4 linked regions of the Lonchura striata genome follow. The main gene of each other region encodes a partner of the protein of the gene in region 4 in a complex. Links are inferred from orthologs where the notes say so. Each region holds a gene or a part of one and is shown on either strand. Other genes may lie near its edges. The genes, in order: THBD, F2RL2, F2R and F2.

Region 1 (7,322 bases), on a different chromosome or scaffold from region 4:
AGGCACAACCAGGGTGGGGTTTAAGGGTTACTTTTTTAAGGATCTTATTAAAAATCTGTTGCCTGAAACCAGGGAAAACTGCTTATCACAGAGCCAAGGAATTTCATAAAGGTAGGAAAAGCTGTGTTTGGAACAACCACGTCCTCATATCCTGAGTGTCCTGCCTAAATCAACTTCTAAACAGAGAAAACAATGCTCTCCTTCCCATCAGCCACATGGGAGGCTGGGCTTTTCCTGTTGTATCTTTTTTTTGGGGGGGGAAAGTCCTTCCTGGCTCTAGGCTGAGTGTGTTTTCCCTCTTTCCCCGTGTAAGGAACATGCTGGAATTGGAATATTTGCTGATTATTCAGTGTAAAACTCGTAACTCCCAAAAAAATCTCTGGGCCAAGTTGCTCCCCAGGTACTTCCCAAAATTCCTTGAGCCTCTTGCAGTCTTTCCAGTGGGAATTCTCCTCAAAATCCTGAGGGGCACATACAGCATCACCTCCTTCATAGTTTATCCATGCTATGAAGGGCTGGAAAAGATCAGCCACAGGATTTGAAGGGTCCAGCAGCTTCTTGAAGTTTCTGTTTGAGTTATTGTGTCCCTGGAGCTGAATTGCTCCAGGAATGAGAACAGAACACAAAGGAGTTTGCAGTGGGTAGGGAGCTGCATCCTGTCATTCCATGTGCTGAGGAAAACCCTTTCCTGCTTTTTTCTTGTCTTGGGTCCCCATTGTGAGCTGCAAACAGGAAAATTGAGCTGATATGAATGTTTTCCATGCGCTGCCTAGGTTGGGAGAACGTGGGGGAATTCAGCAGCAGAATTCTTGGAAATCCTGCCAAAAATTCCCAAATCCCAAGCCAGCATAGCACTGGGAATAGCTGGATCAATGAAGGAAATCCCATGCAATTATGCCGGATTGGGATCTTTGGGAAGTGACAACCTTGGGGTTTTTTATGGGATATAAGGCTATAAAAAAGGGAAAGGAAGGGTGAGGGTGGAATCATAGCTGGGAAGAACCTGAAGTGTGCTGCTTATTCCCAAAAAATCATAATCCTGATTTCTGATGCAACTTCTATGTATTCCATTGGGGAATGATGATGGATCTAGGGGAAGACAGGAATTTGTGCCAAGGGTTTAGGTTGGATTCTTCCTAACGGAATATTTCCTGCTGTAGCATCCTTCCTCCCTGGTGCAATTCCACCTGGATTCAATCTTATGTCTCATTTTTCCTGGCACATCTTGATCTGTGGCCTCCTTAGGGAATTGTCCAGGTACTGGTGAATCCCACAAGTTGGAGCAGGATAATTTGGTGCCCTGTCTTCCAGAGGAGATGGGATGTTCATCCTGCTCCTTGGATTTTTTTGTAATGGATGAGTGTTTTGCTTTGCCAGAATGAAACTCTTGGATTTACAGCATAAAGTTATCCCAACACTGCTCTCCAGATGGAATTCCAAGAAAACTTGAACAAAAATGTGTTTCTAGTGGGTTTTAATAAAGATATTCCTAAAAATCCATGGTCTGGTGCTCCTAATCCTTGTCTTCCCTACAGTAGGTGGGTGGTGATCCCAAATCCTTTCCTAGGGCTTATTCCATGATCTCAGCCTTTCCCAGGATCTGTGGTCCTGGGCAGGGGCCATTCCCTTCATCTCCGCTGAGGCCATGGGGTGGGCTGTGTTGGATCCCAATAGCACAAGGAAAGTCCTAAATCCATGAGGAAGGTCCTAAACCTATAAAAAAAGTCACCAAGCCACAGGCAAAGCGCTAAATCCATGAGCAGGGTCCCAAATCCACAAGCAAGGCCCTAAACGCAGGTGGAAGGGCCCAAGTCCATGAGCAAGATCCTAATCCTATGACCAAGTTCCTGAAACCACAAGGAAAGTCCATGAGAAAAGACCTCAACCCACGGGCAAGGTCCTAAGACCATGACCAAATTCCTAAAACCATGAACAAGGCCCCAGTCCTATGACCATGTTCTCAATCCCACAGCCAAGGTCCTGATTCCATGGCCAAGGTCCCAGCCCAACAACCAAAGTTCCAATCCCATGACCAAGGCCCTAATCCCATGACCAACATTCCAAATCCATGAGCAATCCCTTTGATTTCAGTGCTGCTCTGCGTGAGGTTCTTTTCGGGATCGACTGATAGGATAGACTGCTTTTAGATCCTATTATCCCATGATATTTCATATTATTTTACATTCCATTGCTTTCCATTCCCTCATGGACAACTGCCAGCATTCCAACAGAGCAACCTCATCCCAAAACCCTTCAAAGAAGCCAAAAACTCCCCCCTGTTGACACAAACTCCCAGATTTGGGGGTCAGGACAAACACTCCAAGTGCCCGCTTGAGCAGAGTGACAGGGACAGCCCGGATGAGTCAAAGCCAAGGGGAAAGGCAGGAGAAACATGATTAATGGGACTGGGGAAGAGGAAGAGCAGCCTGTCAGCAGGCAGGGCAGTGCTGGCACCCTGACTCAGCCGCTGGAGCAGTGGGATAAAAGGAATTAAGAAACCGTGATTAATCCCATTCCTCCCACCCCATCTCGATTATCTTTTAGGGACAAACGTCAGTCGGGCAAGACCAGTGAGGTGGGATCATTGTTTGGGAAGGCTCTGTTTTTTTCCTGGACAAAACCTTGACAAGGAATTTTTTATCTGGGTTTGCAGTTACTGAAAAAAAAAATAAAACAGCCGGAGCAGAAATGTATTGTTTTGGGGTTTTTTCCATCTCCACTACACTCTCCTTTCCTTCTTTTCCTGTGGTTTGCCGGGATGTTTTTCCCCTTCTCTTGGTAGTTTTCTCCAGAGAACAGACGCAGAAGTAAAAGGAGAAGTGGAAGAAGAATTGGAAATAGTGAAATGAAAATTGTGGGAACAACAGGTGTTCCTAAAGTCAGTAAAGGTCAGAGTTATCCAGCTCTCCAGGAGATTCCTGGGAATGATCCTGCTTGGATAAATTCTTTGTTTCAAGCTCTCCCATGGACACTTTCTCCTTGAGGTTCATCACTGCTGCTGGAATTAAATTCTATAGACATTTCTTTTCTATTTTCGTGGCAGATCCAAAATGTCCAATGGGGTTAAATAAGAGTTAATTATTGATTATTCATTATTATTATTACTATTATTATTCCAAACTTCTTTTTTTTTTCCCAAAATCCCACAGGGTTTTGTGGGAAGGACTCAGGGTTGTGAGAGGACAAAACAAACACCAAGGGTTTAAGAAAGGACAAAGTTCAATAAAGTTCACTAAAGTTTACTAAAGTTTAATAAAGAAACCTCCTTTCTTTGATCCGAGGAAATTGGGATTTGCTGCTTATCCCAAAGGACAATTGCAGTGCCCGAGGCTGTTGGAATTCCATGAAAAAACGGCATCAAATCCCTTTTTTTTGTGGAATTGAGAAGCCTGGGACATTTAGGTTGCATTTTTAGGTTGCTCTTGGCTCTGTTCTGGCAGCACAGAGGGATCCCCCAAGGACAAACAGATGGAATGGGATATCCATTCTGAGGTGTCTGTGGGGAATAGGGGAGATGGGGAGAAGGGTCATAATATTGCTTTTAATAACAATAATACCAAACAGTAGAACTGTATAAGTTATATAACTCTAGATGGAAATACATAATTATATGCTAATTTTTTATTAAAGAAGTTTTCCCTAATCAAACGTAAACAGTTTTCCTTCATCCCATTCCTTATTCCCTGGGAGCAGATCCCAAGCCCACCTGACTCCACCATCCTGTCAGGCATTGCGGAGAGGGAAAAGCTTTCCTCTAGAGCCTCCTTTTCCTCAGGCTGAGACCGTTTCCTAGCTCCTTCCCGGTGCTCCAGCCCCTTCCTGGCTCCATTCCCACCTCTGGACACGGTCCAACTCCTCTTCTTTCCACTCTGGATGCAGAGCTGCACGCAGGATTTGAGCTGTGACCTCCGCAGTGCTGGCCCTGTGGCAGCAGCTGAGTGACATCCCAGTGGCACGAAGACCCCAGCGGGGTGACAATTCCCAGCGGCGCTGCTTCCACGCCGAGGCCCCCTCCTGTGAAATCTCCGCGCCGCTTCCCCCCTTTCCCAGGGCTCAGCCCGTGTTCCCCGGCACTCGCGGGACGCCCCGGCCGCTGCCGGCCGCTCCCCGCGCAGCCGGGCGGGCCCCGCCGGGGCGGAGCCGCCGGGAGGATGCGGGAGGGGACCCAGGGCCACGGGGCGGGGGCGGGGGCAGCGCCCGGCCGGGATTCACCGCCGCGGTCGCTCCCGGCCCCGGGGGCGCTTCCTTCCCCCGCCGGGGCCGCTATAAAGGGGGCGGCCGGGAGGAGCGGCCCATGCTCAGCTCGGGGCGCCGCCGGCCGCCCCCTCCGCGGGCCATGCGGCCTCTGCTGCCGCTGCTGCTGCTCGGGACGGCGGCTCTGGCACAGCCGCCGGACCCGTCCCCCGCGGGCACGCAGTGCCTGGAGCACGAGTGTTTCGCCGTGTTCTGGGCGTCCCGGCCCTTCTCCGACGCCAGCGAGAGCTGCGAGCGGGGCGGGGGACACCTCATGACCGTGCGCTCCACCGTGGCCGAGGAGGCGATCGCGCTGCTGCTTCAGAACCGCAAGGGGCGGCTCTGGCTCGGGCTGTCGCTGTCGCCCTCCTTGTCCTGCACCGAGCCCAGCCGGCTGCTCCGCGGCTTCCGCTGGGTCACCGGCGACCACAGCACCGATTACACCAACTGGGCGCTGCCGGGGCAGCGCTGCGGCGAGCGCTGCGTGACCGTGTCCCGGGAGCTGGGCTGGGAGGAGCGGCGCTGCGAGGAGCCGGCAGACGGCTTCCTCTGCCAGTACACCTACGGAGGCAGCTGTCCTCACCTGGCCTCCCAGCGCGCCGTCCCTGTCACCTACGCCACCCCCTTCGGCGCCCGCGGAGCGGACTTCCAGGCACTGCCTCCGCGCAGCGTGGCGTTCGTCCCTGACCTCGGGCTGGAGCTGCGCTGCGAGGATGGGGACGACGCGGGGCCGCGCTGGGGCCGCGACACCCCGGGAGCGTGGCCCTGCGAGCTGGGCGGCGGTGGCTGCGCGGGGACGTGCGCGGAGGAGAGCGGGCGGCCGCGCTGCTCCTGCCCCGAGGGCACGGTGCTGGGCCCGGACGGGCGCGGGTGCCGCTCGCCCTGTGAGGGGGCGCAGTGCCAGCATCACTGCGTGGTGGCCGGCGGCTCCTTCTTGTGCATGTGCGCCGTCGGGTACCGGCTGGCGGCCGATGGCATCAGCTGCGAGGACGTCGACGACTGCACCAGCGAGCCCGGCCCGTGCGAGCAGAAGTGCCTGAACACCCAGGGTGGCTTCGAGTGCCAGTGTCACAGCGGCTACAGGATGGTGAACGGGCACTGCCAGCGCCTGCCGCCCTGCTGGGAGGCGCCGTGCCAGCAGCGCTGCGAGGAGCTGCCCGACGGCTACCGCTGCGGCTGCTTCCCCGGCTACGCCGTGGACCCGCGGGATGCCACCCTCTGCCGCCTGCACTGCAACGCCACCGAGTGCCCCGCCGTGTGCGACGCCGAAGGGGCCTGCGAGTGTCCCGAGGGCTTCCTGCTGGACGGCGACGATCTGTGCGTGGACATGGATGAGTGCGACAGTGGTCACTGCGAGTTCAACTGCACCAACACCCCCGGCGGCTACCAGTGCCACTGTCCCCCCGGCTACTACCTCCTCGGCCTCGACTGCAAACTGGACGGGGATGGCGAGGAAGCGTCCTCGGGGGATTTGGAGCCCGAACTGCATGACCCCGTCCCCAGCCGGCCCCCGCCGAAAGAGGAGCAGCTGCACCCCGGGGTGCTGGTGGGCATCGCGGTGAGTGCCCTTCTGAGCCTCCTGGCCCTGCTGGCTCTGGGATTCTGCCTGGCCAGGAAGCGCTGTCGTTCCCACGGCTCTATGGATTACAAGTACAGCGGCCCCCACGAGAAGGAGCTGGGGCTTCAGCCCGTCCCCTCGGCACAGAAGCCGTAGGGACATCCGTCGGACGGACATTGGGAGGCCGAACGGGGTGACATTTAACCTCCGCCACCCGCCCCTTCCCAGCTGCCCGGCTGGAATTTTTGAATGATAATTGGGGAAAAGCTGTGATCGCACCACTCCCAGAAATACTCGCTGCTTCCCAGCCGGCTTTTGGAATGCTAGTGCCGGAGAGCGGGGACAGCAGAACACCCAGAACCTGCTCCGCTCCTGCTCCGTTCCCGCTTCTTTGGCATTCAGCTTTCCTTTTCCCGAGTGGGCGGTCGGGAAAACCGCAAGGAAAAACCCAGGAGGGACGACTCCGTGTGTAAGTGACTCTAAATCCGTGGGATGAGAGCACGGTGTGACCAAGACGGGGACTTTTGAAAGGACACCTCAACCCAAATCCTCCTCCCTCGGGCTGGATGGTTTTCCCGAACTGGGAGGCTCCTGCTTTTCTTTGGGATGGGGTTTGTTTGTTTTAAGATGAGGGAATGAGGAGCAAAGATGTTGTGGGAAGCACTTGTCACCTTAAGCCACTGGTGAGAGCAGGCTCGATGTCACCAAGGGGGGACTCAACTTCCTGATTCCCATTCCGTCTCCTTATTTTTTGCGGGATGTGGAGGTTAAACAGGGACACATAGGCTGTCGGGATGGGTTTGGTAGGAAAGGTTTGCAGTGCTGCAGAGCCACATCCAGTTCCTTCCATGACTTTCCACCGTTGTTGCCTTAAATTATTGGATTTGGGATATTTTTACGACCCCTCCCACCCAAAGAGATTTTCCCTGTTCCCTCGTGCAGGGCTGACTCTATCCCAAAGTAAAACATTCCCAGGGGGCGGGATCCAGAGTGCCGCTCATTCCCAGCCACGGACTGGGTGGGAGTTCTGAGAGGGATCTAATTTTCCAGCTCCATCCTTCCCTGGGGAGCCAAAGAGGGTCCTGTTCTGGCTGCCGTTGGATCGGGAACGTCAGAGCACGTGCTGGCAGCTTTATGCTGGTGAAGTATTATCCCAGAGTGGTGAAAGTTTTGGAAGCCTGGGATCAGAACTGGGGAGTTCTGTTCCCCAGCACTCCCCCCTCCCACCCTATGAACTTCCCAGCACGCATCTCCCCTGGAATGCTAAACCTCCGCTGCAAATTCCCAGGAAAATCAAAATGAGGCATTTGTAAGAATCGTGGTTTTCCTAAAAGGTCATTATCCTGAAGGCTGGAAAACTGAGGATCCTGTGCATGGATCTCTTGGGGTGGATTAAAGTGAAACCACATGGAGTGAGGGCTGTAAATCTGTGGATGTGCCAGGTTTATTTTAGGACAGTTTGGCTGCAGTGGGAAGGAGGGAGCTGTTGCGATTACCCATAATTATCCGTGATTATCCAGAAAAAGATATC
Region 2 (7,978 bases), on a different chromosome or scaffold from region 4:
ACACATTCTACCATTGCTGTGACACTGTGATATCCAGGCATCTCGCCTCAGCAGCATGGAAGCAGAAAAAACTGGGAAGCCACACATTACATCTGGCTGCTGCTGGCCCCAGACTCATACACAGTCCCATGTGCCTCATCAACTCTGTTCAGCAGTGTTTGAATGCTTTCCTTCCTCCTTTTCATCATGTTAAGGGTGCTGGAAGATATTTTTATAAAGACAAAAGAAAACACAGCTTAAGCTAAGATTCATTTATGTAGGTCCACTGTCATCTGGATTTTCCTCATATTTTAATTAATTATGCCTACATATTTGAAGGAAAATATAAGAAAAGTGCTTATCAGGGAAAAAGCTCAAGTTGGCAGAAATTATTCCTTTCATTTTAAAATGCTAGCAATTAATACTGTGGCTGTTGCTCTAGAGAAAGGCCATTTGGACCCTGAAAAATCATAAGATAACTGAGGGTTAGCCATCCTCCTCAACTGCCAGAAAACTGTCAGCTCCATTTGCTTCTCCAGCAGTTAGGATGCCAATACCAGATCAACACTGCAAAGGGTTTTTCTCCACACCCATCCTCCCTTTTAAACAGCTGTGATATACAAAACCACAGTTGTCTGGTGTGATAAGCCTGAACTCTCAACAAGGCCAAAGATCAGCTTTTTCCTATAACTTGGACTGTCTCAGGACACAGACTTCCTGCTTTGACAGACTCTTCCTGTGCAAGACTGAAGTCAGTGTTCAAATCTACTCCTGAAGGCTATACAGCTGATATTTGGCTGATGTCTTTTTGTCCTTCACTTAGATAAGGAGTACAATGGTTGAACTCATTAAAGAAGTGAAGCAAGGTGATGCAAAACAGAGCAAGCACCACAATGGGTTAGGAAATGCAGCAGCACTTACTGAACACTTCTTCCTAAATATAGGTAGAAGATACAGAGTCCTTTACTGACAACTTTAGGGATGACTGTAAAAGCCTTTCAAAATTTTAATAGTGTACCATTTAGTATTCATATAAGGCATAAAAGTTAGTTTGGAAGTGATCAAGACTGTTTCAGTACCACTGCCAGTATCTTCTCTTATTTTACTGCTTATTTTATTGCCATTACTGCAGCAATCTCAAAACCACATTTTAAACTGAAAAATACATCTTTGACTACCTTGTGAAAGTTTTGGAATTGTTTGCCTTTCAAAAATAGAGCCTGTGTGATAGATCAAATAAAAGTTCCTTTCCAAGTTGTGATCAAGCTGAACTTTAAGTTTAGACTACGTGAACACACATGCAAGCTTCCTGAGACAGGATGTGTTGGTTATAGGAAGTATCAGGTTCTGTGCTGTGGGGAAATGTTAAATCTCAGGTTTTAGCTGCAAAACCTTACAGCTCTCTAAGAATGTGCTGTGCTGACAGTGCTTCCTTTCAACCCACAGGGCAGAGTACATGAAATTAGTACTTTTTTTCTAAAAGTGAAATGTTAAAACAGTTCCACTGAGCATCCTTGATTGTGAAAAACTGTGCATTTACTACGAACAAAAATTATAACAAAAGATTTTAGAACAAGTGGATGGACCAGTAATTTACCATTAGAAACATTGTGTGGTATTGCTGTATGAATTATGCTGTCCTAATTTCTTCAGGCTGCTTATGATACATATTCTTGATGCTTTTACACCAGTGAACACAAATGAGGGCATTTTAAAGTTGCTCTTAAGGTTTAACTCAAATCTGTTTATACACTACATGTTTCCTTCCTTTCTCTGTGCTCATGTTTCCTCATGGCTCTGGATGGCATTCAAGGGAAGCAGGTTTTTCCACAAAAGAAGGTATCAGCACTCCTCAGCAGAAAATCTAGGTTGAGACAATATGCATGTATCTGACCCTATCTCAGAAAACACAAGCCCAGCGCTTTCTATGGATATGTGACCTACAAAAATACTTCAGATATCTTCTGTGTATCTGCCTTGTTACATGAAGATGACATTAGTTGTTTAGCTCAATTCCAAAGTAATAGCAACACAAAATGCAACATTCCTGTAGCAGGGATAGCTATTTGTAATGTCCATCTGTGTTCTCTTCCACCCACGACTGCCCAAGCAGTAACTCCTGACGTGCCTGTGCACTCACAGCAGCCCCATGGCACCAGGGATGGCTGAGCACAGCACTGCAGGAATGCACCCACTTCAGCACTTGCATTCACAAGCTCCAAAGCTCCAAAGGTGCAACAGAAAGAAGCACTGACTCACCCAGAGCCAAGTGAAGCAGAAGGCTGACCAATACCCAGTGCCTTGTCTGTGCTGTGATGGCAGGCACATCACCATGCTCTCCAACGCGCCCCATAAACCCAGTGATGCTTGCTGCTACGTTGCTTGCCAAAGTTTATTATGTATTATGAATACTTTTTCTAAAATTATCATATTCAGCCAAAGCTTTGACAAAAGGTGTTGAGTCCATTCAGTACACAGCACTCTGACAGATTAAGTCTCAGCGTTTTTCCTACAGATTGGAAGAGCATATGCTTTTCAAAAAGAGCTAGCATTTCTTGTACACTGCTTTAAAAGTTAATCTTCCTGATTTCTTTGTCAGCAATCCATAAAATATAAAGAAACATGAATAAGCAAAATTGTAAACATAAAAATTTGCCCTTAAAATATGCATAAAGATTTTAGTCTTAAATGTAGCAAAACAAGCTCCTGAACAGCATATCTGTTCTCATTCATATATTTCAGGAGCTACATGAAGATGCAGTGACATTAGAAAGATTGGTCATGATGTAAACCTGTATAACCAAATCCATTTAATTATTAGCCACACCTTAAAGATTACCACTTTAGATAGAACTAACACCACTCCTGTAGTTTTAAGTCATCTCAGTCTTAGTATGACAAAGAACATGCATTCATTTCTTTTCATGTATTTAAAGAGCTTGCACCTTCTCTGAAGTGGAAAATATAAATTACCAATTTCATTTTCCCAAGACCAAGAAAAACAAGACCAGTGGAGATGCAGGTTAATGCTTACAGGTTGCTGCTTCTTTTATGTTGTTATTGCTGTCATTGATTCCTCTTTGTATTTCATCCAGCCACAGAAGAGCTGATTCATCTTGAGATTCCTAGAAAAAGGACAGTAAAAAGCCTTGAAAAAACTGAATAATAAGAGTTATCTCAATATAGTGATACAGTTCCAATACACAGTCTCTGCTTTGCAAAGCTCTAGAACACAAAAAAAGGATTTGATTGTTTAAAATCATCAATGAAATACATTCATGTTTTGTTTACTGACTTGAAAAAGATCCTGTTCAGATACAAATCTCTGAAAGTTTTGATGTCTAGAAGAACAGAATTTGCTGATACTACTGGCAGAGAATTAATTCTACTAAAGATCAATACAAATTGAAACATTTTTTTTTCCATGATATGTAGATAAAGTAGTCTGAGTCATGTAAAATCACACAGACAGCAGGAAGCTGGCTTTCTTCAAAATCCCTTATTTGGAAAGGATCCTTGTGTATATCTAAGTACATATTACAGTGAATACTCTTATAGAAAGTCCAGATTTAGTAAAGATGACTTAGCTCATGCAAACATTTCTGTAATTAAGCTGCGGAATAGGCACTGCTATTCTTTCAGGCCTAAAGTGCATGACATTAAACCCAAGTTAAAATAGAAGGTGCATTAGAGTGGGATCAACATGCCTACTAACTAGCCCTACTGTCCAGGTTCACTGGTGATACCCACACTTCAGCAGATAAAACAGGGTTAAAGTAGTATTTTAAACCTAATCCAGTAGGTGGGTGGGAAATGCATGCTAAAGAGGAAATGTCACGCCTATCATAGACTAGCAATGAGAGAAGCTGGAATGTATTGATTAAGAGAGATCTAGGAAAATATACACACAAATATTTCAGGGAAAAAATACAGCTAGAAAGACATTCAAACTAAAACAGTGTGGATAAAGAAGCAGCTTTGCAATGAGTATCCCTGGTTAAGCACTGAAGCTCAGGTCAAATAATAAATCTGATATCCACAGAAACTACAAAAACAGGGTAAAAAAACCCCTAAAGACATGCTCTTCGGTTTACATCATGTATGTAAGCAAGGTAGCAGAATACTTAGTATAACATGAAGTGGTGTCAGACAATCACAGGACAGTGGACACATACTGCTTATTTTTCTACCAAGTGAGAGTTAGCACATGAGAGAATGTTCAATAAATCCCCAAACTGCCATTGCATTTTGAGAAAAGCTTTGAGAGCTTTTACACATTAAATACAAGAACAGACACAAATACTGCTCTGGAGCCAAGTAAAACTTATGCTGATCCTCACAACTAGCCTGGAAGCCAGACCAAGGCTTGGGTTAATTTGGCTTGGTGAAACAAGCTATTGCTATTTGGCATTGAAGGCAAAAAAAAAAAAAAAAAAAAAAAGCAAGCCAGGCAGAGAAAAAGGGAGGGATCAACAAAGCAGGAAATGAAAACAGGGGAAAGGAGAGGAAAGGTTTTAGAGGCTGCAGTGTGTGGCAGGATGGAAACTGCCTGGGGAGAGGCTGTAGGTGGATTGAAGGAGCCAAACAGCTAATAGTGGGTAGGGAGGCAAAAGGCAAAGCAGAATGCAGTTTTCCTGAGGTATATTTGTATGTATGGTTTCTTTCTTTCTGTCTTTGCCTTTTGCTAAACTGAGATAGTCACACCCTTCTGCAAGCCCAGCTTTTCCCTGGAGAAGGGTACAGAGTTCAGCCACGTGACATTTTGGTCCTGAATGAGACCCTTGAGGATTTACTAAACACACCCCTTGATTTTTCCAGAAAAAAACTTTTTACTCCAAATACCTGTATGTACAAATGTCAGTAGAACCCTGCATATCAGCTTCAGGCTTGTGGTAAATTAGGAGTTAAAATGCTGCTGTAAAGGATTTTATCTCTGTGTTGGGCTGAGGCTGAAACTGAGTCATATGTGCATATTTGGATACGTCACACTCTCTTGCTGTAGTAGACAAAGAACAAGTTAGCTCCTTACCATAAACCTCATGCTTACAGGATGCTTCTGGAGGACAGATCAATCTTTCTTTAGTCCCTTACAGAGAGTAACCCCCCCCCCTACAAAATGTCTCTTGAGATGAACTAGCACAGCGCCATCCTTCAGCTGGCTGGATTTCACACACTACAATGAAGATACTGTTTTTCACTGGACTGCTCTCTCTTACTTCCAATCTTTGCACTACAGGTGAGTCCTCTTTTCTGTATCTATTCCATATTTTAGTCAAGACTTTTTGATAATGTTGCTTTACCAGCTGTGGACTTAAAATGAGTTGTACATGCATGTATGATTACAGAAAACTGCTCCGGGATGTCTCCTTTAAAGCAGATTTTTATACTTTCATTTCAGTGACACATTACCCCTGCCAGTCATTTTGTAAAAATAGTTTTATTTAAGAGGACTTTCTGCACTTACTGAAGACACATCTTTTATCTAGTATTTTTGTAACAATATGAAATTTTAAACCTGTAGTGTCTTGTTTTGCAACTTCACAGATGGTGTTATTAGAAGGAAATGCCCAGATGACTATTGTGATAAAAATAACTAAAGGAAATGATCAAATAATAAACCTTTCTAGAATTAAAAATATTTTCAAAACAAGCTCATTTAGAAAAGCTGGTATAGATAAATATATATATACATACATACATAATATACATATATATGTATTTACACCTATGTCTATTTATTATACATATATCAGCCAATGCAGGCACATGGATGACTCCTAGTGAGTGGTTAAAACTAAACTTCTGGAATAACTAGCAGAAAACTACTAGAAATTATGTAGTCTGCTAATTATTATTATTATAAAACATTCTACTATTAGAGTGAACATTAATAAAATTATTCTCTTTAATTTATTCAAATATGGAAAGGTAAAAAAGGGTCCAAGGATTTTCATCCATATTTCAGTTTGCTTCTGAATTTCAGTTTCATGGTGCATGCTGAAGGCTTAACAATAAGTAATTTTGCATTAAATGCACATAAGAAAATTTAAGTGACACAAATATTTACACAGTTGTTTACTGTGCAAAATCTATTCTACAGCACATGGCTTTAAGAAGCATTTTGAGCACATTTGTGCTTCATGTGGAAATGTTGATATATCTACAAATTTGTCTACTAAAGATTGAAAAACAGGTGTTAGCAGTATTAATATCTAATAGTGTGTTAATAGTATTACTGGTTTTGCCCACATGCTGACAATATTTACTCACACATAATTTTCCTACTGCTTGAAAAGTTTTATTCACTTCTTAGTAAATCACACCTAATACTTTCCCAACCATTTGTTTTCAATTTTCAGACATTGCCCTTTCTCATGTACAAGAACCTGAAAATACCAAGTTTGCTTTAGTCAAAAGCTGCAGAATAACAGTTTCACATGTGAGACCAAAAAAACCAAGGGTAATTTCAGTTTTCTAATTTGAAAGCTTCAGTGTTAGACTAGATAGTGCTTTTTGCATCTTTTGCAGTTACTCATTTAATACATGAAGTGACAGGATAGTAATGGTGGCTGACCAAGCCTAAACAAAGACTGCTTATATGATGAATGACCAGCATTCCTACTACTGGGAAAAATCCTCCACTGGTCATAAGCATTACTGAAGTGTCTGATGTTTTTCACCAAAGATTACTGAAAACACTCAAAGCACAGAAAGGTCAGCTAACACTACGTTAATGATGAATTTTCAAGATTTGATGTGAAATGATAAATGAAGACTGTTGTCTGTACATTTGAATACCCAAAGCAGAGGAGAATGTCCCCAAATCTTTTAAACTTATACTGCTTTCACATAAAAATGGTTATCTTTCTCTGTTCTGAAGGTGAGTCATCTTGTTAATGCAGTAGTTTGTCTTTTTTAACAATTCTCACTTTTTTTTATTTCTAAGCTTCAGAATTTTCACTGAATGGCTCTGCAATTAAAACCGTGTCTCTTATAAAAACTTTTCGTGGACTTTCAGCGAGAGACTATGATTACATCCCTCCTTATGCTATAGAAGGGGAAACAACAACCATCCATATCAGAGAAAACAAATGCACTTCAACAAAGCCAAATGATTCCACGTTAACAGAAGTGAGCAACACCACGCTGGAGTACCTCACCAGCTCCCTGAGCACCAAGCTAATACCTGCTGTCTACCTCAGTGCTCTTTTACTGGGTGTACCCTCTAATGCCATCATTCTGTGGATGCTTCTCTTCAGGATCCGCTCTGTGTGCACTGCCGTCCTCTACACAAACCTGGCTGTTTCAGACCTGCTCTTCTGCATCATACTGCCCTTCAAAATAGCCTACCACATCAACGGGAACAACTGGATATTTGGGGAGACCATGTGTCGAGCGACCACGGCAGTGTTTTACGGCAACATGTACTGCTCCATCCTGCTGCTGACGTGCATCAGCGTCAGCCGCTACCTGGCCATCGTTCACCCCTTCACCTACAAGAGCCTCCCGAAGCGCGCCTACGCCATCGCCGCCTGCGCTGCCGTGTGGGCCATCGTCTTCCTCTACATGCTCCCACTTGCCATCATGCAGCAAAGCTACTACGTGAAGCAACTGGACATTTACACCTGCCACGATGTGCACAGTGCCTGTGAAACTGTGTCTTCCTTCCAGTTCTACTACTACGTGTCCTTAGCTGTATTTGGGTTTTTAATACCGCTCGCAACTATCGTGTTCTGCTATGTCTCGATTATACGAACACTCAAGACTCACGAGTGGTTCTGGTATGTTAAAGTCAGTCTGTTGATTCTTACCATCTTTGCTATTTGCTTTGTGCCAAGCAATATTATCCTTATTATCCATCACATCAACTATTACTATTACAAGACAGATAGGTTGTATTCTTTTTACCTAATTGCTTTATGCCTTAGCAGCCTAAACAGTTGTCTTGATCCTTTCCTTTACTTTCTAATGTCAAAAATTAGAAGTCAATCCAATATTT
Region 3 (7,675 bases), on a different chromosome or scaffold from region 4:
TTTGTCGTTGGATGCTTGTTAAATTTTAAAAACACACCCTAAAACACCAAATGTTCAGAGGAATGTACACAGTGCCTTTTCAGCATTGATAACAAAACAGAAAACCAAGAAATCTATTCATTTAAACAGCTCAAGATTTCATTGGTGTTGGTACTTTCAAATCAAAATTTTCTTTAGGACACACAGCTATTGTGTAGATTTTAAAGTAGACAGAAATTGAATTTAGTTAAATATATAAACCTCTTCCTATTGAAACATTTTTAAATTACCTCAGATATATAATATAGCTGATACTAGACTTTAAGTATTTACCAAAAGAGAACCTAATTTGTTTCTAAGGGATAGTTTGAGCAAATACTTAGCTACATACTAGGCCTATTGTGTGGCAGTTGTCAATTGCAAAGCAAATATATTGTGCAATTCAAAAAATTTTATAGGTAATTATAGAGTGACAATAACAACTTGCTTCACAAAAATATATTTTGCGATTCATTCCTACTAAATGCACTACTGCCTTGTGCAAAATGACATTTTCTATTTTCACAGCCTTTGGAGTGGTATTGGGGAAATCTGAATAGCGAACAGTTATTCAGTTTGAAGTATTTGAATACCTAAATTGTGCCTGTCTTTTATTTTTTTTTTTTTTTGTAAGAAAATAAATGCAATAAAATCAGTATTTAGATTGGGTTTTTTAAATATTCTTTGGAGATTGTTCTATGTAAAATAAACATCACCTAATTAAACTGGCTTGGTCCCTAAATCTCATTTCAAGGAATTATTAAAGCTGCAACCTAGATGGTAATTGAAAGAATTTATATCAGTGCTTTTATAAAATTGCATGTAATTAAGCCTGTCTCCAGTACACTTGAGGAAAGCTGCTCAGCAGTGAAGACTTCATGGCCCTTATGCCATTGAATGTGATGAAGATTTTGCTTAGGAACTATAACAGAGCAAAAGTTTGTGCCATTGGTAATGTGACCAATAGAAAATACTTCTTTCTCTCACTTTTCCTGTGACAAACACTTCAAAAGATAGTGAGAAATTCTGGAATTAATTATAAAAGCAAATATTAAGTAAGAACTCTGGTAAGAGAATAGAACAGTGTTAAGTCACTGGCAGATATATGGATTACAAACTCAGCTGATATACTAACTGATGTGTGGTGTTACACAAGCTGAAAAAATTATTACATTTGCTGGAGATATTAATTTATGTATGACATTAAGTTTGAATACATGACTACTTTAAAACAGTTAATATCCCTAATTAAATGATTAAAAAACTACTCTGTGATCCCAGTTTTCTTCTAGCTGGTTATGTATAAACCATTTTAATATGACATAAATACTGCAGTATTGATACCCTACTTCACTTAAAATAGCTGGATAGAAAAATGAAAACAGTGCTTCGTTCTTCCTTCTGAAGAAGAGAACTGAATTTTACTTGAATATTAATTCAATTCCCAATCTTTTGTTCCCCTTTTTATTTGCAACAGACTTGACTAATGGCTGTATTTTTAAAAAACTCTAGCTGAGCACTAAATCTGCCACAGGTGTGATGTTGCTCCTAAGGACGGACTCTTGAGGCAATGTGTCAAAAGCCTGGAATTGTGCTGGTGAGACATGCCAGAGACCCACAGCCTTTATGGGAGTAACTCACTCCTGGTTATGCAATTTTGTGTGATATACTTGCACATCTAGTACCTGCCTGGTTCTAATGCAAATAGCACATTCCTCAGTTATTTCCTGGAGCAGGCAAGCTTAGAAAAGCTTCTTTGATTTCCACATAATGACAATTATGAATGGTACAGTCTGTGTACCAGCATGCCCCTTTTCCAGCCTGGGCTTCCTGTTCTTCCTAGTGCACATCAAAGAATAATTTCCATTTAATGTCTTTGAACTCCTTTATAGCTTTTTTCCTTAATTAGGTAGTTCCATTTAGGGCCTTGTCACTGAACAATAATATGAACCCTGCTGAGAAGGATTGACCACAATGTTTTCTTCCTCCATGTAAGATTGATGGTAGTGTGAAGTACCATACAAATGAGCAAAGTGATTTTGTTATCACCCACTGCTGCTGACAGCTACTAACTACAAAAAAAAAAAGGTGTTTTAGAGGCTACTGTAAGATGCAATGTGGGGAATTCCAACATTAGAAAGGACTTGCTGAAATCAGCTTCAATCATGAAATGGTGGTGTGGAAAGACTTGCATTGCTGTTCCAAAATCTGAGAAAAAATGCCAGTACAGCTGAATTGGGCCTATGCATCGGTTGTCACTACAGGAGAGAATGCATCTTTCTTTGCACAGCCTATCTCTCAGCTTTTTCCTCCTTAACTGGTGGCAGGGAAAAGAAATTATAATCGGTAATAGTCTTAGCCTTTTAACCACAAGGCTTGCATTTTTCTATCACGTGTCTTTAGAGTTCATTAAGAGTGCCTGGCAGCTTACTTAGTTTATTTTGGAATTTTTCCATTCTCAAGGGCCTCTAAAGATAAAAAGCTACCCACAAAATTGCAGAACAACATCCTTCTGCTTAGGCCAGGCAGACAGGAGCACCAACACAAGCACTAGATTTGTTCTGTTTCACTTTGCACTGATCCGTGGACCTCCTTTAACTGTCCAACTTTCTTTTAAAGAATACAGGAGTAAAACAACCTTCATTCCCAGAAAATCCAAACACTGACAGCTACATGTGATTTCAAAAAGTTTGTAACAAGATACACAACCCTCTACCTAGATGACTGATTTCCCTGCTTGAGGTGTGTGTTTCTGTGCTCATCTTTCAGCAGTAACCACCCACCTCTGACAAGCACCAGGGTAATCCGTGTATTGGTAGTAAGAAAGATCTCCTTCCGCAAACAGTAATGATGTAGCAGTCTGGCTAGATAGGTGCAGTCCTTTTTGGTAAACTTGGTGTGTTTAAAAGGAATGAAGTTTTGTTCTGTAACATACTTCTACTAAAAAAAACACCAAGTAGCATTAAAAATTATTAAGTCCTGAACTCTTCACCTCTGTTACAATAAGTTATCTTGAGAGGAAGGAGCAAGTTGATTCAAAAAACTACAGGATACAAAACTTAAATTTGGTTTTCATATGCAGACATAAAATTTAACAAGCATGGGTTTTATTCACTTGCTGTATATATAATAACCAGGTTACAAAGATGAAAGGGCATAGCCCTATGATGGTTTCTAATGTCTGTGACTAAAATACTTCTGGAGGTTCAATCTGAAGAGAACCAGGCTTCTCTTCATATGTTTTACAAACTCTGCAATCTAAGTTATTCCTCAAGCATTTGCCCACTGGCTAACACTTCTTGAAATGTAAGAAAAATACTAGCAATATATGCTTTTTTGAGAACCTGAGTCATTTTTACAATTACCTGTTTTAGTTCAGTTCTATTTTGGGTTTAGAGTGTTAGAAGAGCAACGTCTGTGCATGTTATAGAACTGTGAGACCACACAGAAATTACTAGCTTCACCTCACAAAAAGAATAGCTTCACTTTCTCTTCCCAGATGAAATAATTACCTCTGATTAAGGTATTGTCTAAACAGATGAATAGTTCAATTAAGTATAAAGCATTTTTTTCTAGGTTTCCTAGAGCATGTGGGATGATAGAGCTGTGGGAAGGCTGGCTAGCTGTAAAACTTGTATTTATTTCTTGCTCTATACAAATGCAATCATCTTCAACCATGTTATAAGTAGTGGTAGAACTGTGAGAGGAACACCATAGAGACACAGAGCTTACTGGGAACCAGTACATATGATTAGGGAAATTTGTCTTCCATTATTTTTATTCTCCACCAAAAACAAAGCTCAGTGCTTCTGCAGTAATAAAGGCACTTCATACATATAAGCAAGTTCAAATCAGCCTTCCCTCATTCCCATTTTTGTCTGTACTGCTGTAAACAGAAGGATATACAGTTGAGGCATGGATAGCACACGCTAGCAAGCCAGTGTCCACTTTAAAGCTTCTGACTGTCCTACAGGCTTAATAAACACTTAAACAACAGTGGGATGTTTTGAAAGCAAAGCTTCTAAATAATAGCTGCAAAATTACCAAAATATTTTCCTATGCAACCTTCATGTAGGTTTTGCTTCAACCACTTCTTGATTCATGAGCATCTCAAAAGGATCACAGACTCCAAAGTTTGTCAGCGCCACTGGACTGGGGAGTGGCACCACTTTATCGGGAATTTTGGAACAGCAGAGAGGGCTGCAGAGCCGGGCAATGAATCGCTTTTGGGTTGCCCTGTGTTTGTAGCGCAGTTTACTGAACACATGCAATACAAGCCAGCTTGAACGTCATCTCCTTTATACGAAGTAGATCAACTGAAACAGTGTGATCCTTCAGCTGTGAGTAATGCAGGCATTTCATCTGCCCGTACAACTGCTCCCGTGAGGCACTCGGACTGCAAATTTGGCAAACTTAGCTTAGAATAATTCCTTGAACATAACCCTTTGTTCCGGCGCTCCCGACCTCTCACCCTGCCCGATCCGGCCGCCGCTTCCCGTGTCCCAGCGGGGCGCGGGGGCTGCTGGCCGGGCTCCGAGTCCCGCGGGCGCTGCCCCTGCGCCTCCTCCTCCCCTTCCTTCCCCTCCCTCTCCTCCCCTCCCGCCGAGCCCCGGCGCGCAGCCCCATCCCTGCGGCAGGAGGGAGTCCCGGTGCGGCTCTCCGCCAGCCCCGGCCTCGTGCGGGCTGCGTGCGCCAGCCCCGGACGGACGGACGGACGGACGGACGGGCGGACGGGCGGACGGACCGCGGACCGAAGGCGCGGCCATGCGGCCCCGGGCGCTGCTGTGCGCCCTGGCGCTGCTCTGCTGCCCGCCGCCCCGGCCAGGTGGGTCCGCGGGGCCGCGGCGCTGGCGGCGTGTTCCGGCCGCGGAGCGAAGAGCCGGAGGCGTCCCAGCGCTCAGCATCGCCTGTCCGCACGCTGCCGGGCCGTGCGATCCCGCTTGGGAGTTTTCCGTGCGAGTTCGGGCCGAGTTTTCTTCGGCGCTTTGTGCTCCTGGCAGCGGCGAGGAGAGGCTGTTCTTGGTGGTGGAGGATGGCTCGGGGTGACGCCGTGGTTAAGGAGGGGGGCAGGCAGTGGCAGGTGGCGGGGGAACGGACCAGATCGGCGAGACTTGCTGCTGGATTCTCTTAACCTTTCACTAGCAACGTAGGAAGAGGGTGTGCCAGCTGAATTTCTAGGAGGTGCAAATTTCGGAAGATCTGCCAGCACAAAATTGTTCAGAATATGCACCCCAAGTAGATAGACTACTTTCATGGTTATTTCATGGTTATTCACGATATAGCAACATCAGAACCCTACCTGGTGAGCCCATGTATCCGTCCTGCTCAGAGCTTGTTAAACGATGGAGATGCTGAGGTAAGGAAAGAGAGAGAAGACATGCATGCATTTAACCTCACACCTTATGGCAGAGGTACAGCAGTACAAAGGATTGTGCATTTAGAGATTAGCACTGGGGTTTTTTTGCTATTACAATTTTCCTTGATTCAGTTTAAGATTTCTTTCAATCAGGTAGTGGCGATAGTGCTCCTGTAGAAATAACGTCCCACGATGGCCTGCAGTAGAGCCTCAGGTCCTATATATGTAAAAGGGCTGATTAGATGAGTAGCTAAGAGGAAATTTCAGAGCATAGCATACTTTGACTGCTGAGCTAAACTGAAAGGGGATAGACCTAGTATTTGTAACTATGCTGGGAGGGAAGCATCAGAGAGGGCAAATAATTTTTGCTGGACAACTTCCTGGTACAAGGACAAGTGGGAAGGAAGCTGAAATCATGTTCATATGAGAAGTCTAAGGAAAATATCTTTTTAAGAAAAGGGGGAGGTGGTGTAAAAGACAAGCTGCACATGTTAATGCTAGGAAAAAATTTCACTGTTGGTGCTATTCTTCCAGTTACTTCATGTACAACAGAACTAACAAAACCCAATCATCTGAATATGTCTTCTGCTCTTCTTGTGCTCACTCCCATCATAATAATATAATTTCCCCGCTGTCCTAAATAACCTGTTTTTACCACAATGTACATCATTCCTGTTGCCCATGCACTTTTGTATCCTGTGGTCTGCTCTGGCTTTTCTGCCATCCTTCGCTGTGCACAGTTACCACATTACTGACCTGCACTGTTCCTTTGGGCAGATGAAAAAGCACTAGTTTGGCAGTAGGTTGGTGTTAAGTGCCTACAAATTATCTGACCAGTGCTGTTGAGGTGTCTAAGGTCTGAAACTTGCCTGGAATTCCCTGCCTTGAGACACTGATGGCAAGACAGAGATTATTCATTGTTTGAAGCCAGCATATGTGGTTAAAGAGATGAGAAAACAGAGCAGACACCCAGTTGCAAGAAAACAATAGTTCAAGAAAATGTGTTCAGATTGCTACCACATCAGTTGTGTAATCTAATAATGAATTCTATATAAATAGAGATGTGAACTCATAAATAATTCAGTTTTATTTTTATAAAAGCAATTAACTGTCATCACTCCTACAAGATTGTGTCTTATTTTGTTCATTAATGCATGTCTGGCATGCACTTCAGAGTCTGCCTTCACATGCCTAATTTATGGGCTACTGAGTAATTTAGATTATAGATGCTTATCACTTGGGGTTGTACAAAGGAGAGATAAAAGAAACCTATTTGTTATAAGCTAGTATGCAGCTGTTGCCAATAATGCCCATAAATCAGTATTATTTATTGTCCAGCAGCACATAGGGAACATATTTAATTGGCTTGTGTTCCTACACAAGCCTGTTCTCTAGTCTCTGACATCACAAAGATATCCCTCGGGATGTGAAGTCTGCTGGTTTGTAACATTCTGTCCATGCTCATGGGTCTACAGAAATATTTTTCAAGTTTCTTCTGGAGCTTAAGATTGGTCAAAGTTGTATTTTCTTTCACAGAGTGGGATGCAGAGTAGTCCCTTGCATATGAAAATAGACATGAAAGTTTAGGTCACCATTCTTCATGTTATCAAGTGGCAGCGAAATAGCAAGTGTGATGCCTCATTACATTTTCCCACAAAGCTGGCTTGCAAGTAGTACCTCATGTCTTCTAAGTTCAAAATGGGGACATGGATTTAGAACAGGAGTCAGTGTAGAGGTGATGTTTGCAGAATGAAGGTTGAGTTCAATTCTGAACTTAGAAAGCCTCTGCTTATACAAAGAATACATAGTTTTCACCAAATTATTCCAGATATTTATCTAAAATTATTTATACATTTTTTTTGTTTGTTTGATTTATTGTAATAGGATTCTACCTCTAGAAAATTTCTGTAATGGAGTAAAAGTGACTCTAAATTCTTTCATCTAAGAAACCTGTAAATAAGATGCCTCCAAGAATTCAGAATATAATTAAAATTATTAGCAATGTTCATTTAGCTATAAGCACTAGCTTAGACAATGGCTGGTAGTCAGTAAAAGGTACCTGTCCCACTCATAGCATTCTTTTCGTGTAGCATATTTTTATACCATTCTCAGTTAGGAGCTGGTGATGAGAAGTCATTCAGGTTATCACCCAGGGCATCCACACTAAGAGACTTAACCTCAGTCATTAAGGGTCAGTGACTCTGATTGGGTTGGTTTGCTAGTTCTCAAAAATGTGAAACTGCAGCACAGCTCAGGTCCTCCAAATCTGAGGGATACTGGGACAAGACAACTGGTGCCTCA
Region 4 (7,465 bases):
TCATGTGCTGTGTTTGAAGCGAGTGCCCTCTGTCACAGCAGAACTGGGAGAGAAGGGGGAGCAAGGGGGGGAAGGGGCAGGGAGACCCAGACCCCTACTCCCTAAGCTGATCTGCTTCTTTATTCCAAGGTAACAGGAGAGAGGTAGAAGGAGCAATTATGAATTAGGAGGTCTTCACAGAAACATTGTTCACCTGACAGTAGATCTGAGTAGGTGGGAGCATGTCTGTGCCATGCTGCACGTATCACTTGGCTGCAAGATAAGCTTAGCTGGCTAATTCTGAGGAGCCCATAGGTGATTCCCATAGGCCCCTGATGGTGATGCCACCACCATGTCTTTGTCTTAGAAACAGCATGTTCTCATGTGAACAACCTTTTTCTTGACAGCAAAATGTTGCATAAAGTTGTTTACTCCTAGGAAATTCCTATAAAAGCCCCAAAGAACCTCAGCAGGGATGGGATTTGTACAGGGTGCCATGGCTATGTCCAGTAAATGGTATTTTAATGACTACATTGTGGGCTCTGAGTGCCTTTTTTATTGGGATCCATAACAAGCCCTCATGCCAGTGCATTACATTTGGTGCAGTTGTCAGGATCCTGGTGAGAAGGGAAGAAGGATAACAAGGAAAAGGATATGTGCCTGCCTGGTGCCATATGCTGGCATGGGGAGCAGCTACACAGCCTGCTTTGTGTACCCATAATAGGTTCAAGCAGCAAGCACAGAGCTCTCCTGGGTAATGAAGTCCACCATGCTGGCAGGCTTCACCAAATCTTTGGGGTGCTGCTGCAACACTCCTGGGTGACAAATGCCAAGGTCTTTTGGATGATTGGGGTCCTTTGTGCTGGCAGGGTGACACCAGGTGTCAGGCATGCATACAAGTGTTACATTTAAACCTCACACCACAATCAGGGTTCAGTTCCTGGCCAAGTTGTAAACTGGCTTAAACCTGACCAAGGTGTTTGAATGAAAAGGAACAGGCTGCACAGGGAGGAGACAATTCTCTGGGTCCTGGCCCTCGGGGACAGGGGAACTCCCATGTGAAGGGATAAAGGTTTCATGTTTCTGATTGTATCCAAGATGTTGCTTTGATCAAACTGTATAACTCACTTTAGGAACAGATTAATAAACGCTTCAACTATTGAACCAGCAAACTATCCATAACAGAGCAGACAAAGGTCCAAGAAAATGGGCCAAGGCCAAATCCCCTATATTCTGCTCCCTGGAAGTTGAAAAGTTACACAGGAAAAAAAAAAAAAAAAGAAAAAAAAGAAAAAAAAAAGCCAAATTTCTTTACTTAAAAAGAAGAATTAACACATAGGACGAAAGAGATCAAAATTCCCAACTGTGTTACAAGCAGTAACTCTGGATGGAAAAGGTATCTTAACTCTCTTGTCCTAAGAAAGAAAATAGCATCCATCATTCATAGGTGAGTGAAGGCAGAAAGAAAATGAAATTATAAAAAATTGGTTTGAATGGAAGAGGTAAATGTTGGAGGGGTGGAAGTCATCCCTGGAGAGGTGGTGATAGCTGATGCATACTGTGCTGCTGCAGAGGCTAACCACAGGAATGGGAGAAACAGAAAGGAGCCCTAGAAGCACATTACGGAAGGAGAAAGGCCACAGTGTGAAGAGTCAGCATTTTTAATTACTAACATTGCTGTGAGACACCAGAAAGAGCTGGAAAGGGTCCCAGGATGTAGTGAAAATCTCCAATTACAAAGCAAAATGTAAAGAAATAGAAGACATCTAAGTGATAGATGTATCCTTGAGCAATCTAGAGATAAGAAGTTTCAGCAGTTACAGTTAACAACTTAGTTGCCCTGATAGGTGGGTTTGTCTTGTATCGCTCGGGAAAGAGCAGCAGCAGCAGAAAGCAGCTGGGCAAGAAACAGCCAGACATAGTGACAGAATCATCAGTTTCAGTAAGGGTTTTTCAAACAAATGCTTAAGCAACAAAATAAATGTAGGAACCAGAACAGAAGTAATGTTTAAGGAAGATGGCATAAGTGGGTATTAGAAGATATTCATACCTGTCTGATAACCAAGGTTAACTGCTGTATTGTAGCATTGCTTAAAGCTGGCCTTATATACTGCATGATCCCATGGAAGGTGGTAAGACCTTTCCTTTAAAGGAAAGACAAGCAGAGGGTAAAAATCTATGCGTAACAACGTTGACTTAAGCTGCCTGGTTGTTACAAAGAAGAGACAGAGATGCAGAAAAGAAAGTGATTGAGGAGACTGAAAGCTGCTCCTCCTCCAGTGAGGAGTGGAGGTGGCTGTGTGGGACACAGCAGCAGCCTGACCTTACCATTCTTGTTTGTGCTTTTCCCTGTCCCTGCCTGCGCTCTCTACCTAAATGCTGCTTCCCCTGCTAAGTAACATGGGGATTTCCAGGGTTGTGTCTAATCCCATTCACACACTCTCCACCCAGGTCATTTCCACCCAGGGAATTCCAGCCATTTCTAAAGGTGTATTTTCAAAATCCATAGCGAGGAGTAGAGATGTGTGTGGATGAGAACAGGAGATACTCTTATGTGAGGAAGGAAGACTCTGCAACTGCTCTTTGTACCAGTGTCCAGAGTCATTCTTCAGCCACCCTAATGCTAATATTTGCACTTCTTCTATGGAGATAAACATTACAGATGTATCAGCTGCACAGAGGCACAGGACAAAATATGCTCCCTGCTGGCAGGAAGCACTTTTGCTCCATGTGGCAGATTCCTGAGACTACCCCCATGCTGCCCTGCTTTCTGCTGTTTTTCCACTCTTGCCAATAGTCTGCTTGCTGTAGCAACCATTAGAGCCTTCCCAGCTCTGGTAGTCCACTTCTTGACTTAACAGCTGATGTCATTACATCCAGACCATTCCTCTCTCCCCATTCCTGGAAGCCCTTGTTTTTCTGGCTGGTTTGGGGTGTGCTAGCTCCCTGCTTGTCAGAGTTTCTGTTTCCTTTTAGATGGACTTTAGTACATTCCACTAAGGGGGGAAGAAAAGGGGGAGCCTAGCCTTCATGCTATTTCATCCTCTTCCACTCAGCTGGGAATTATAAGGCATTACGAAGAATGCACTGCCAATGGCACTGGTAACTAACCTAACTGGGAGGAAAATCTAAATCCCAAATGGGCTGTCAAAGGCACCCTTTCTGCTCATTGTCATGGGCAAGGGAGAAGGGAGAACACAAACTGTGTTGTGGTGCCAAAATAGCTGAGGCTGAGCTTACTGATAACTGCAGGAAGGAAAGACAACTGAGCACTAGGGACACTCAGGGGGGCTTGCAGCTAAAAAGAGGACTGGGAATGGCTAAGGAGGTCTCAAAGTCCTTCTGTGTTTGAGGTAGCTAGAGTACAACCTTTGAGAACAGTCAGTATTAAGGACCTGAACCAGCATGGTGGGGAGGCAGTGATGGTGCCAAGGGGCTGCACAGGAGCAAAGCCAGGGAAAAGGAGCAAGCTCTCTGGCTGGGATGGCTGTGAGCTGGCAGAGGTATCTCTCTCCAGCCCAAATTTTCCCTGTACCCTAGGACAAACTTGCCCTCTTGCTACTCATGCATCATCCTAGATATGAAATAGGAAGTTAAGTAAGGAAACAAAGATGCTCTGACAGGAGGGAGAGATGCCAAAAGAGGAGGGATAAGAGTCCCACTGTCCCTGACACACCATGACCTGGAGTCCTGTTTCTTCATTCTGGTTCAATATTAACCCAGCAGGGCTGTGAATCTGCTTATTCTGCTTCCTTTGCAATTCCCCTGCAGCCACGGCTGTACAGCATGGCGCAGAACAAAACCAACATACTGAGGGGCCTGCTCTTCTCCAGCCTTCTGCACCTCACCTTGAGCCATGCTGGAGGTAAGACTCAAGGGCAGAAGTACCAGTAGATGACAGGGGGAAGACAGAGATAGTTCTTTCCAGGGGTAACACAGGTGGCAAGTTTTCTTCCTCAAGTCAGGAGGACAGGCTAAAAGCTTGAAGCTGGGAGCAAAAGGGTGCTGAGAATGGAGTGAACATAGGAGGATGCAGCTGCATCTGCCAGCTGGTGATAGCAGCTCAGTGCATTTTATGGGTCACCTGGGAAATGGCAGGGAGGGGACTGTGGTCCAGGATCAAGTCTAACAATAACCATGGGGCTTTTGGGAATAGAGTTTCTCAGCTGACCTAGATGACTTCAATTCTCTATTGCTTGTCCTGCTGTGCCTTATCAAAACCTTAGGTCATACAAAATATTCCACCTGCCTGCTCACTGCTCCCTAAGGAGCTTCTGTCTTTTCTTAACATGAGGTTAAGTACTCTTCAACCCACTACTGAGCAGGAGAAGACCTGTCTCCACATCTCAAATCAGGGGCTCTGAACATGAACTGGAACCAAGTTGTGTTTAGCACAGTGGTCTGAGACTTATAAGACAGAAATACAGTGGCTGGGGATAGGGACAGCAGCAGGCTCAAAGCAAACAAGCCTCTATCTAACTGCAAATGAGCAGAGCAGCTTTGCCGAGGAAGCAGTGTTCCTGTTGCTTCTGTTCCTTAAGTGATGGGAGCTGTGATGGGATGAATTCCAGTGAGCCTGCTCTGATCATCAAGCGTAGACATGACAGGGCTTCTCCTCTCTGTATGGTGTGCTGGGGGAGGCTGGGCTGTGGGATCACCACATCAGCTGCATGTGGTTTTTGGAAACTGCAAGGGGAGACAAAGGTGCCCTCTGGCTGTGAGCAGCCCTTTGACTGGCAGTGTTCTGACCTGATAGTTTTCCTGGAAAAGGGGCAGGCATTGTCACTGCTCAAGCGCCACCGACGTGCCAACAAGGGATTTCTAGAAGAGATGCTTAAGGGAAACCTGGAGCGAGAGTGCTTGGAGGAGACATGCAGTTATGAGGAGGCTTTCGAAGCCCTTGAATCCACTGATCAGACGGTACGTACCGGGAAACATTCCCCCAGCCAGCCTCTGTGGGGAGACACCAGCAGGTTGCCCACACAGCCAGGGACCAGGGTTGTAATACTCAATTCTGTGAGCTAAAGATGAGGCTGATGAGTGCATGCCCCACGGCAAGCTCAGGCTTCCTTAGGGAGTTTCCCTTCTTGAGACCTGCAGGGAATACACTTGAAAGCTCAGGTTCTTTTCTCTCCCTCTCTATGCATGAAGTGACAAGGTGCTATTGGTCCCGAAAAGCACCTTCCACCAGCTCAGCATGGTACCATACATGCGAACTGCTATCCCAGACACCCACAGAAGCACTGGCATAGTAGTCAAAACACTAAGTGCAGGTTGCTCAGACTCCCTTGAGCTTTTGCTTTTGCACACCCTGTCTATTTTTCTGCCTTCCAGACTCACTCACTCTGTCAAAGTTGTCCGATACTGCATCCTTTTGGGATTTGTTCCTAGACCCAAGGCTGGTGTCCCTGCAGAATTTCACACCCAAAAAACCCATAAACAAACAGTTAGGAGCCTAAGCCAGCAAGACACTAGCTCTTTGGAGTACTTCAAAAACAATCAGCCTCCAGCTGCATGGCAGAGATGAGCAATACCTACATGTGATCTATGGCCTTAGAAATTCCAGGTTCAGCTGCTTGGACTTCTGCACTGTAGCATACTGCATTACTTGCACTGCTTGCTTTGCAGGTTGATGAAGGTTGTAAACATCTTTGGTCTTTTTAGAAACAACAGTACTGTCTTGATTGCCAAGTCTGATGTGTGGGAATGTGGTTTTGCATCACATTTTTGCTTTGACTCCATAGTAATTGGTATAAACAGAACTAGATTAGTCTTTCCTTTTGTTGTTATGGAACATTCTCTTACTGGTTTCAATAGCGGTAGCCCAGAAAGGTTTGATGTTTGATGTTCTGTGTCCTTAAATTATTTTTTCTTTTTTTTTTTTTTTTTTACAGGATATATTTTGGTCAAAATACCAAGGTAAGTTGAAGTTGTTTTGAGTCTTGCAGGTATTGTTATTCCTTAGAATGCACTGTCTCATCCTGGAGAGATGGCTCCCTCTTTTAAGAGCTCACTTTCCAGGGCTAAGCACTTGTGTTTTGTCTCTAGATGGTAACCTGGTTCAAATGACGATGCTTATTTGGATTGCATTCATACAATGTGTTTCTTTCTTCTTATTTTGCTAGTATGTCAGGGCCTGGGAAAGTCCAGGACAATTCTGGATGCTTGTCTAGAAGGTATGAACTTCATGCTGACCTCAATCTCCTAGATACAGTGAGTGCCAGGAACTTGCTTCCTGCAGAGATTGTACAGAAAAGAAATTTAACTGATGTTAGAGAAGCCATCTAATTTTAAAGAAAAATACAAGGGGAGGAATTTGAAATTATTTCTTACTCTTTATTTCCCCAGTAATCATTTCAACAGACAATCTGGCTTGTGCACTGAAATAGCAGCCTCTGAGAAAGGCTCTGAGCCAAAGCAAAGCACAGAGCCCTCACAGACAGCTCCCTCTGATGAAGCAGAGAAAGCTTAGGCTTCTCACAGGAAGAGGATGCCTCTGCTATTGCAGGCTCATGCACCCAGCAAAAGTTAAAGGGATATGTGGGGATGGTACTTCTGACCTTGCAAAATGCAACATCCAGTTCCACTGACTGGCTTGCACTGTTGGGATTTTGACAGGTAACTGTGCTCTTGGGCTGGGCCAGAACTATCAGGGAACAATTAGCCAAACCAAGTCTGGGATTGAATGTCAAGTGTGGACAAGCAAGTATCCACATATACCTAAGTAAGTTCATCTCCCACATACCCCTTAAGAGTTCTCTGGGGTATCCTTCCTTCCTAGCCTAACCAGCTTTGTCTCTCATAGATTTAATGCCACCATTTATCCCAACCTCATTGAGAACTACTGCAGGAACCCAGACAACAACTCAGAAGGCCCGTGGTGCTATACCCGAAACCCAACAGTAGAACGGGAGGCGTGTCCTATCCCCGTGTGTGGTATGCCCCAGCACTCCAGAGAGCCCTTCACTCACAGCAAAACACTGCACTGAGACTGACACTAAAGCAGTCAAGGAGAGGGTTAAGGAGGGGGAATGCTTACATGAACAGAGGTCAGTAGGAGTAGAGAAGTTGCATCTTAAAGGGTAAAGGAGATGAGGAAGAAAAGTCACTGAGTTGCCCATACATAATGAGCTATTTTCTCTAGATTACACTAATGTAGATCTAAATTAAAACCAGTATCGGCAGTACCTTGGAATGTACTACAGTATTTTCTAGTCAGTCACCCCAGAATCCTGGCCCAGCTGTCTCTAATTTGTGACAGCCAAGAGTCATAATGCTTTTTGGTCTGAATGCCTACCTTTAGAACAAAATAACTAGTTTATGCTTGACTGCCTGCCTTAACGTTCTCTCCTGTGAAGGTGTGCAGTTTAATACTCACAATTTCAAGTAAAGAGAAGATACCCTTCTCTCATCATTAAGCTGAACATAGAGGATCATCTCCCTACACTTGCACATTCCCGTTTCTCCCTAGTACAAAGCCATCTCC

The links.
Region 1: the proteins of F2 (region 4) and THBD are in contact, whole or in part, in a crystal structure (PDB 1DX5), measured with the Homo sapiens proteins. The link is inferred for Lonchura striata from reciprocal best matches to the Homo sapiens genes F2 and THBD. Residues at the interface, in NP_000497.1 of Homo sapiens: Phe382, Ser385, Pro386, Gln387, Leu423, Arg425, Thr432, Arg433, Tyr434, Arg436, Asn437, Glu439, Lys440, Ile441, Met443, Lys470; in NP_000352.1 of Homo sapiens: Ser424, Cys425, Glu426, Cys427, Tyr431, Ile432, Leu433, Asp434, Asp435, Thr440, Asp441, Ile442, Asp443, Glu446, Asn447, Gly449, Phe450, Asp479.
Region 2: the proteins of F2 (region 4) and F2RL2 are in contact, whole or in part, in a crystal structure (PDB 2PUX), measured with the Mus musculus proteins. The link is inferred for Lonchura striata from reciprocal best matches to the Homo sapiens genes F2 and F2RL2. Residues at the interface, in NP_034298.1 of Mus musculus: Phe379, Gln384, Glu385, Leu386, Leu420, Arg422, Arg428, Thr429, Arg430, Tyr431, Arg433, Lys437, Ile438, Ser439, Met440, Lys467, Pro470; in NP_034300.3 of Mus musculus: Thr46, Phe47, Glu48, Glu49, Phe50, Pro51, Asp54, Ile55, Glu56.
Region 3: the proteins of F2 (region 4) and F2R are in contact, whole or in part, in a crystal structure (PDB 3LU9), measured with the Homo sapiens proteins. The link is inferred for Lonchura striata from reciprocal best matches to the Homo sapiens genes F2 and F2R. Residues at the interface, in NP_000497.1 of Homo sapiens: Phe382, Arg383, Pro386, Gln387, Glu388, Leu389, Leu390, Cys391, His406, Cys407, Tyr410, Trp413, Lys415, Leu423, Arg425, Arg431, Thr432, Arg433, Tyr434, Ile441, Met443, Glu457, Asn458, Leu459, Asn506, Thr510, Lys517, Gly518, Gln519, Arg541; in NP_001983.2 of Homo sapiens: Ala33, Thr34, Asn35, Thr37, Leu38, Asp39, Pro40, Arg41, Ser42, Phe43, Leu44, Leu45, Arg46, Asn47, Pro48, Asp50, Lys51, Tyr52, Glu53, Pro54, Phe55, Trp56.

The regions. Positions count from the first base shown.
Region 1 is NC_134605.1:27,849,214-27,856,535, forward strand, and holds the start of THBD (thrombomodulin), read left to right. Parts: upstream 1-4,307; 5' UTR 4,308-4,336; coding exon 4,337-5,947; 3' UTR 5,948-7,322. UniProt on the Homo sapiens protein: Endothelial cell receptor that plays a critical role in regulating several physiological processes including hemostasis, coagulation, fibrinolysis, inflammation, and angiogenesis.
Region 2 is NC_134642.1:13,444,524-13,452,501, forward strand, and holds the start of F2RL2 (proteinase-activated receptor 3), read left to right. Parts: upstream 1-4,972; 5' UTR 4,973-5,157; coding exon 5,158-5,215; intron 5,216-6,925; coding exon 6,926-7,978. Other genes in the region: ras GTPase-activating-like protein IQGAP2, read right to left, coding at 3,014-3,104. UniProt on the Homo sapiens protein: Receptor for activated thrombin coupled to G proteins that stimulate phosphoinositide hydrolysis.
Region 3 is NC_134642.1:13,412,129-13,419,803, reverse strand, and holds the start of F2R (proteinase-activated receptor 1), read left to right. Parts: upstream 1-4,659; 5' UTR 4,660-4,782; coding exon 4,783-4,843; intron 4,844-7,675. UniProt on the Homo sapiens protein: High affinity receptor that binds the activated thrombin, leading to calcium release from intracellular stores.
Region 4 is NC_134608.1:38,794,855-38,802,319, forward strand, and holds the start of F2 (prothrombin), read left to right. Parts: upstream 1-4,464; coding exon 4,465-4,899; intron 4,900-5,873; coding exon 5,874-5,898; intron 5,899-6,104; coding exon 6,105-6,155; intron 6,156-6,597; coding exon 6,598-6,703; intron 6,704-6,784; coding exon 6,785-6,915; intron 6,916-7,465. UniProt on the Homo sapiens protein: Thrombin, which cleaves bonds after Arg and Lys, converts fibrinogen to fibrin and activates factors V, VII, VIII, XIII, and, in complex with thrombomodulin, protein C. Functions in blood homeostasis, inflammation and wound healing.